Struthio camelus: one gene and its partner. The protein of the gene in region 1 purifies or fractionates together with the protein of each later gene. This does not show direct contact. Links are inferred from orthologs where the notes say so. Each region holds a gene or a part of one and is shown on either strand. Other genes may lie near its edges.

Region 1 (3,746 bases):
TGGTTCGCACCTCTTGTCCCTTACCTCCTTTCTCACTATCATAGTGTGAAGCATCAAACTGTGCATCATCGTTAGGCAACTGCACACTAGCTATCACAAGATGATTTTGTTCATCTGAAGTATGGGTCCCCAGGACTAATCGGTGAATACTGAAATCTTTGCCCTCAGGTCTGGAAGAGAAGAGAATTACATGAGAAACAAAAGAAAGGGTTTACATAGACACTGAGCTTATTACGACACATTTTTTTTTTGTTGATTACAGCTTCTAACACTAGTAACACCTTTTAGAGTTACCCTTGCTCTCCCTGCTCCAAATCCTCTTCCTTCTGAGGAAGATCACTTACTCTAACTCCAGACAGATCTCAACTTGTAAGTCTCATAGCACAGTCCCTATCTCTAAATATCAGAAACAGATCCCCACCATTCCCTTGCCTTCTTTTAAGAGGCATTTGCAACGCTCCCATAGTAAAACTCTGAGGCATGTGAACATTAACTGCAAGCAGAACATTGGTCTGGAAGCTTAGGACAACGCCATGGTTATACTGCACAAGATAAGTTGTCCACAGCCTTTTGGTGCTGAAATTATGTTCACCCTTGTTTTTGTGGAGAGGGTTTTTCTGCTTCTAAAGGGTAGGGTGAAGCTGGAAAAAGAAAAGCTCCAAAAATCAAATGAATGAAAGTGCCTTCTCAATGATAAAGACATTTTTCCAAATTAAAAATGCCTATACTGCTTCTCTCTCCAGTGTTCAGTCCTCACCTTGCTCTTGGTAAGGCAAGGGAGCAAAAAGCTGATTCAAACCAAAAGCAATCCTATACGGTCTTACTTGAACAACAAGCAATCCTAAATTTACTCCTATCTCTTCCTCTTTAAAAAAATGAAAGGACCAGTTTACCTCGTTACATCAGGAAGCCATTGAGCAGTCAAGCTGGGCCATTCCAGAGCATGGGTCATTACCAGATCATATAAGAAGGGAGTATTCTTTTTCCATATTTTATATTCTTCATTGATCACACGTTCTTCCACTGCATCATCAAAGGCTGCTAAAGTTTGGGTTTTTTTTTAAATGCATAAAGTTAGCCTTTATGAACACGTTCAAAACATACACACAAACCTGTGAGCGGACATCAAACAACAAGCTAACTACAACATCACACTGGTTTGCTGGTACACTACTCTATTAGAGTAGTTACTAAATCATTCAAAATCCTCCGTTACACACGATAATCTTTGTTTCCACACATACGGCTTTGAACTAACCTTGATTATGTCAAACTGCATCATCTTAACACAAGAAGCATAGCAAAATTATGGAATATCGTGCCACAGGATATTGCAGAAACAAAGATTTGTGCATAGAAGATGAGTAAAGGGGGGAGGTCCAGCAACCATTGTTAAACACAGCAGTCCAGGTGCAGCCTTGACCTACTCAATTCGCAAAGTCTAGCAACCTACCAAGGCTCGTTCTGCGTTAGTATCTCTCACGCAGTTTCCCCGACCATCTGCTGCTAGCCTCTGCTAGCGAAGCAAGTCTAAGCAGACCTTTGGTCTGGCTCGGTTACGGTTTGCGCTGCTGAAGAGCAGAGGCGGCACCCGAACCGCGGGGACCCAGGCACCGCGGCTGGGGGGGGCCGTGACAGGCCCTTTGTTTGCCCTAGGCGCACGGCACGGCGGCCCGCCCAGGGCACAAGCCGAAAAAGACCTTCCCGAGGGCCCGCTCCGTTTCGACCAGGCCGCTCGACTCCCAGCACGCTGTCACCCTCCTCGGGAAATAAATAAATAAATACATAAATAAAATAAAAATAAGTAAATGAGTCCCCTCCTCCTTCAAACGCCACCCAGCCTGGCGCGGGGACAAGCGGCTGGAGGAGGGGGGGGGGGAGAGACCTCGGCGGCCGGGACACCGCCTCGGAGGCCGCGCGGCCCCCCCCCCCGCCTCACGGCGCGGCGCGGGGGGGGGGGGGGGGGCGGACGCCCCGGTGGCCCCCGCGCGCCCCCTGGCGGCCCCGCCGCGCCTCGCGCGCTCCCCTCAGGCCGGCGGCCGTTGTTGGGGGGGGGGAGATGGGGGGGGGCTGCCCCGCGCCTCACGGAGCCCTGAGGGGAGAAGGCCGCGCCCCGGGCCCTACCTTCCTTGTCCGCCATGGCGGGGCGGGGAGGGGGCGCGGGGCGGCTCCGGTGCGCGCGCGCGGCGGCGGGGGCGGGCGGGCGGCGCTGGGCGAGGCGGGCGGCCGGCTGCCGGGCTCGCTGCTCCGACCCCTCCGGCCGCGGCTCTATTGTTTCCTGCCCCCGCTGCGTGCCGCTCCGGCGCCGCGCACCCCTTCGCGCGCCAACGCCGGCCAATCGCCGCCGGCCGCCGGGCCGCGGCCGCCAATCCGCGCGCGGCACGGGGCGGGGACAAGGGGCAGGCGAGCGCGCTCGGCGGTCACGTGGGAGGGGGGCCGGGGAGAAAGCGGGGGAGGAGTGGAAGGTGCTGTTGAAGCTCCCGTGGGAGCCGCCATTTTCCGGAGGGGAAGCGGGCGGGTGTAGCGCGCCCCTCGCTCAGCCCTTAAAGGGCCAGCACGCAGACCGGAGCCGCCGCCGCCCCCCAGCGCTTCACCCCCCCCCCCCGCCGCCGACCGGGCCCCGACGGCTCCTGAGCGAGGCTCCGGCCCGGGACCGGTGCCGGGAGCACCGTTGTGTGGGGGGTTCCGGCCCAGCACAACCCTTCCTCCCCAACGGGTGGCCCAGCAACCTCCAGAGCATCCTCCTGCCCCCTCTTGGGTTATTTATTGCCGATAATTACTAATAACTTCCTTTTTTTTTTTTCCCATAAATCCCTGCAGAGACGGGCCATTAGACAACCAGACCGGTGTATAAGCCAAGCCTGATTAGCCGCGGATAACCTGGCACGATCAGTTGTGGATCTGACCGGCAACAGTCAAGGAACAGGTTTAAAATCAAAATGTACGCACGCCTGGTTTTGTTCCCCCCCCGAGCAGCACGAGCCTCCCAATTTCAAGCTCTTTTCTGTCCCATATAGGCCTAGTTGCTTCTCAGAAAATGGAAGTTGGGAGGCCTGTACCATCTTGTCATATCCAAGACTGGCAATAAGAACCGCAAGTTGGCCCTTACACTGAAAATTGGGGGACTTGGTGGTGTTATGTGTCTTCTATAAATCTATCGTTCCCATTATTTGGGGAAGCTGTGAAAAAATCTTACTGTGCACAAAAATATTAAGAAGGAGCAGGAATGACCACTTTGTATGAAAACTTGCAGAGGTCTAGTCTGAATGAAATTAACGGGCCTGAAGTTGATTCGATTATGAAGTTTGTGTCTGATAGATTTACAAATGAAAAACTTGTATGAAACTCAGGGTCTGGTCTGAGAATTTTAAGCAGAGAATTGATACAGTTCTTTATTTAAAAAAAAAAAAAAGACAAATTTTGCAAGCAAATGAATATAGGAAAACCTCTGTGCTTATATGAGAGTCATATTTACCATGCATGTGGATGCCAGCATTGAAGCTTTAAATGCTGTCCCTGTCCTAAGAGGTAATTAAGCTTTTTTCTAGAGAAAAGTCATACTTGAGGGCTACAGATCTTTCCTCCTGTCACGTCCTGTGGTTGGGAGGCAATGCATATTTCAGATTGCTGTGTCACATTAGCGGGCTGAGTAGGCTCAACAGTAACATGTAGTAAGAGCAGAAGTTACGTGAAGCGTGACAGTTTAATCCATTTTACTGCTGTTTGATTATTTTTCATTATTACAA
Region 2 (3,746 bases), on another chromosome or scaffold:
TGAGCCTCTCTTTGTCTTTGATAAAGTCCAACTATCTTTTTCTTCTGCAGCCATCTCAAGCCTTCCAATATTTCACCACCTAAAGAGGGTTCCACCAAAATACTTTGTTCATAACCACTCAAGCATTCTTTTGTTTCGTTACTGTTCTCTTCTTCACTTCTTGCATGGACACAGATCTGCAGCTGATCAGAGTCTCCTCTCATCAAAGTAAAAGTCCTTTCATGGAATTCCTCAGTTAGACTTTGCTCAGGAGGAAGATGAAGAGCAAGTTCTCCCAGCAAAACTTTCCAGGAAGCATCCTCACGGTATGGCAAGATCATAATATTTAGCTGTACTGATACAGGAGTCAATACGGAGCACGAGTCTTCCTCGTCATTAGCTGTCAAAAATGTAACGGATTTTGAACTACTGTGCTCTTTTTGAACAAGGTCTTCATCAACACTGTCATCGTTTATAACAATGAAGGACGTGGAGGAAGTGCTTGGACCTGGAAGGTGGTCCTCATCAGTCATATCATCATCTAATGTTATCACCTCATTTCTCCGGTCTTCATGCATATTCCAGCAGAGCTGTTTCTTCTTCTCCTCATCTACTTTTGCCGGGGGTGCGCGTTTCCGACGACTACTCATTTTGTCCTTTCTCAACAGTGTTTCCAATCTCTGAGAGATCAACTCATACTAGTCAATGATAAATATTACAAAAATACCCACATTCAAATTTTACTGTGCAGTCACTGTGAAACTTGTAAAAGTTTTGGACATAGCCATCTATGCTAAAGAAATCTAAATGCTCAGTAGCCACTTAGTTTTACACAGTAATTTATGTGCCAATGCCAAAACATTAAATAAAGCTAGACACGGAGCATTTCTCTCATACTATATCTTACCGTTTTGTCCGATGGCTATAGACTGAGATCAACAAGAATGCTGCATTTCATAGGTGCTACTCAGAACAGATCTCCTGTTTCTGAGCAGTTCACAGGTGAGTGCCTTAAGCATTGGTCTCCAATGCCAGCCTGACCCTACAAACACTTGAGTATTTATACAAGTGAAACAACTCCAGTAGAGAGATTAATAGACAAAATGCACCTGGGTACTAACAGGTACACTCACAAATGAAGTCAGGTCAGGTCCACACTGTGGATGCAGAGTTTTTTTTACCTTATTTGTAGGTTTCTTTTATATTTTTTCTTAAGCTGTATTCATAGATAAACCCAATTATAATTCATCTAATACATTAAAAAAACGCAATTTTGGAAAATTTCACTAGAGCTGTAAAAGAAACTTTTCCAGAAAGAAAAGGAGAATTTTTTTTCCCAAAAATCTTTACTACGTTACATCTATCTAAAGTTAATAAAAACCATGTAACGTATGTTTGGAAGCCAGCATTCTTAGTGACAGCTGACATTTACCAGTCTCATAATTTTTCACCAAAAAAAAAGAGACTTTATAAACTCTATAAAAAGTTAAAAAAAACCATGTAGTTACAGTGGAGGATAACCTTACCAATTACTTCAAGAATTCACAAATCTTGCTATGTTTGAATTTCAAATATAACAGAATTAAGGAAAAGAAAACACCTCTGTTTCTCAAAACACCACTCGTGCATACTTAGCTGTTGCTAGTAAACACAGCAAATCCCAACAGCGAGCATAGATACTGTAAAATTGCACTTAAACCAAATAAAAAAAAATATATTCTTTCTACTAACCAGATCTGCACGTGCAGAGAATATAACTTTAAGGTATAAACTAGACAGACCCACTCTATTCAAGCAGATTCAAAACGCCACGGCCACGATCGTGTCCACCAGGTAAAGCAACAACCCTGCCAGCAGCAGCACGTGACAGCGCCTGTGCCGGCCTGGAGACTAGCACAGCGCACTCGGATGCTATCCTTACCTTCCGGGCCCGCGTAGCGGAGGCTCCTCAGCGGAGGAAAGCCGGCACACAGCGGGCAGGCCGGCGCTCCGCCCGCCGCTGCGCTCCCAGGGCTCGGCCAGGGCGCGCTCTCCCCAAGGCGAAAAGTTACGTGAAACTTGCAAAGGGCACCCGAAGTTTACTTCTCAGGAATCGATATTTTCTCTCCCGAGGTCTCCATCGCACCGAGCTACAAGGGAGATCAGACACACCGCGCTTTGCCCGCCCGCCGCCGCAACCGCTGGCCAGCGCTCACCCCCCCCCCCCACCCAAAGTTACCGCACACCCCGCGAGGCGTGCGGAGAGGCAAGAGATGAGAGCACGCCGGGAGCCAGGCCAAGCCGCCTGCCGCCCGCCCAGGCCGCCCGCTCGGCGGAGCGCGCCCGCCGCCCGAGCCCGGCACGGCCGCAGGACCACCCGCGGCCGGCCGGGGAAGGCCGCCCCGCCGCGCGCTGCAGCCAGCGGGTCAGGGGCCGAGCACTGCGAGGCGGCGCAGGGGCTGGCTGCCCATCGCCCTCCCGAGCTGGCCCGCCCCGCCGCGGCTCCTCCGAGCCCTGGAGGGGCGCAGAGCCGCCGCCGCCGCCGCCGCCAACCCTCGCTGCCAACGGCCGCCGCCGCGGGGTCGCCCCTCCCCTCCCCCAACGTACCTGGGTGACTCGGCGGCGCGCGCCGCCCCCGCCCAGGGCCGGCCGGCCGCCACGCGACGTCGGCGGAGCAGCCCCCCCGCGCAGCGCCCGTGGGGGTGGAGGGGCAGGGGGCGCGCGACCCCGCCGCCCAGAGCAAAGTGGGAAGGGCCCTCGCGCGGGGGGCGGGGGGGGAGGAGGAGGAGGAGGTGGAGGAGGGTGGGCACGCGGCTGCGCGCGCACCCGGCCCGGCCGGCCGGCGCCCAATCGGGTCTGAGGAAGGCGACAGTTCTCCCCGCCCCTACGCCAACGCAAGGAGGAGCGTGAGGGCGTGGCGGGGGGCGCACGCGCAGGCCGGCCCGCGCCGCCGCAGCGGAGCAAAGCGGGCGGGGACAAGCGGCTGTTTGCCCTCACTAGGGCGGGGGCGGGGCTGAAGGAGGAGCGGGAGCGAGGCGGCGGCGTCGGCGGCCTGGGCGGGGTGCGCATGCGCACGGGCACACCGGCCGCTGGGGCGGCCCCCGGCCTGCGGCCCGATGGCGGGAGCGGTGCGAGGCCCCGCGAAGTCCCGCCTTTTAGCCCGGTTTTCTCCAGGAAAACATTTTGACATAAGCCTGCTGTTTCGGGAGAGGGAATGCGCTTGGTTATAGCCATGAAAAATAAGGCTAAAAAATCCTCACGTTTCTTTTCTAATGTTGTTCCTTTATTTTCCACAGATAGTCATAAGAAGAATAGTGGATAAATCCCATTTAGGGGCAAAATAATGACAGGTTTTGTCACGAGCACTCGTGCCAGAAGCATTTGCATCGTTGCTTTAAAAGCTCTTTCATATTTGAAAACCATCAAGAGCAGAGGAGGTACTGTATTATTTCAATAGCCAATCACAGACTGAAAAGAATGAGCTGGAGAAATGATTTCCTCCGAGTAGCAGTGATGATGGAAATTTTGAGCCAATCCTTGAACCGAAATATATTTTCAAATAATAAAAAAAAGGCTATTAAACATGTGATTCATCAGCAATTTGCACTGCAAAAAAAGCAAAAAAAGTCCAATGAATTGTTGACTGCAATTGTCACTTGAATAGAAACTATGAAAACATGTATATTTTCCTGTGAAATAGGCAGATCCATACTTAGGGACTTAGAGAAACAGCCCTAAATGCACAAATCTAAATACACAAAGTATATTTATAATAAGAAGGTGACTTT

Evidence for each region.
Region 2: the proteins of RBBP4 (region 1) and SHPRH purify together in Homo sapiens (affinity purification with mass spectrometry; 4 studies listed by BioGRID and IntAct, with this or other methods). This does not show direct contact. The link is inferred for Struthio camelus from reciprocal best matches to the Homo sapiens genes RBBP4 and SHPRH.

Annotation. Positions count from the first base shown.
Region 1 is NC_090964.1:8,465,957-8,469,702, forward strand, and holds the start of RBBP4 (histone-binding protein RBBP4), read right to left. Parts: upstream 2,299-3,746; 5' UTR 2,141-2,298; coding exon 2,125-2,140; intron 1,948-2,124; exon of another isoform or gene 1,454-1,947; intron 1,042-1,453; coding exon 894-1,041; intron 171-893; coding exon 25-170; intron 1-24. UniProt on the Homo sapiens protein: Core histone-binding subunit that may target chromatin assembly factors, chromatin remodeling factors and histone deacetylases to their histone substrates in a manner that is regulated by nucleosomal DNA.
Region 2 is NC_090944.1:83,858,992-83,862,737, reverse strand, and holds the start of SHPRH (E3 ubiquitin-protein ligase SHPRH), read right to left. Parts: upstream 2,701-3,746; 5' UTR 2,566-2,700; intron 2,109-2,565; 5' UTR 1,901-2,108; intron 660-1,900; 5' UTR 630-659; coding exon 1-629. UniProt on the Homo sapiens protein: E3 ubiquitin-protein ligase involved in DNA repair.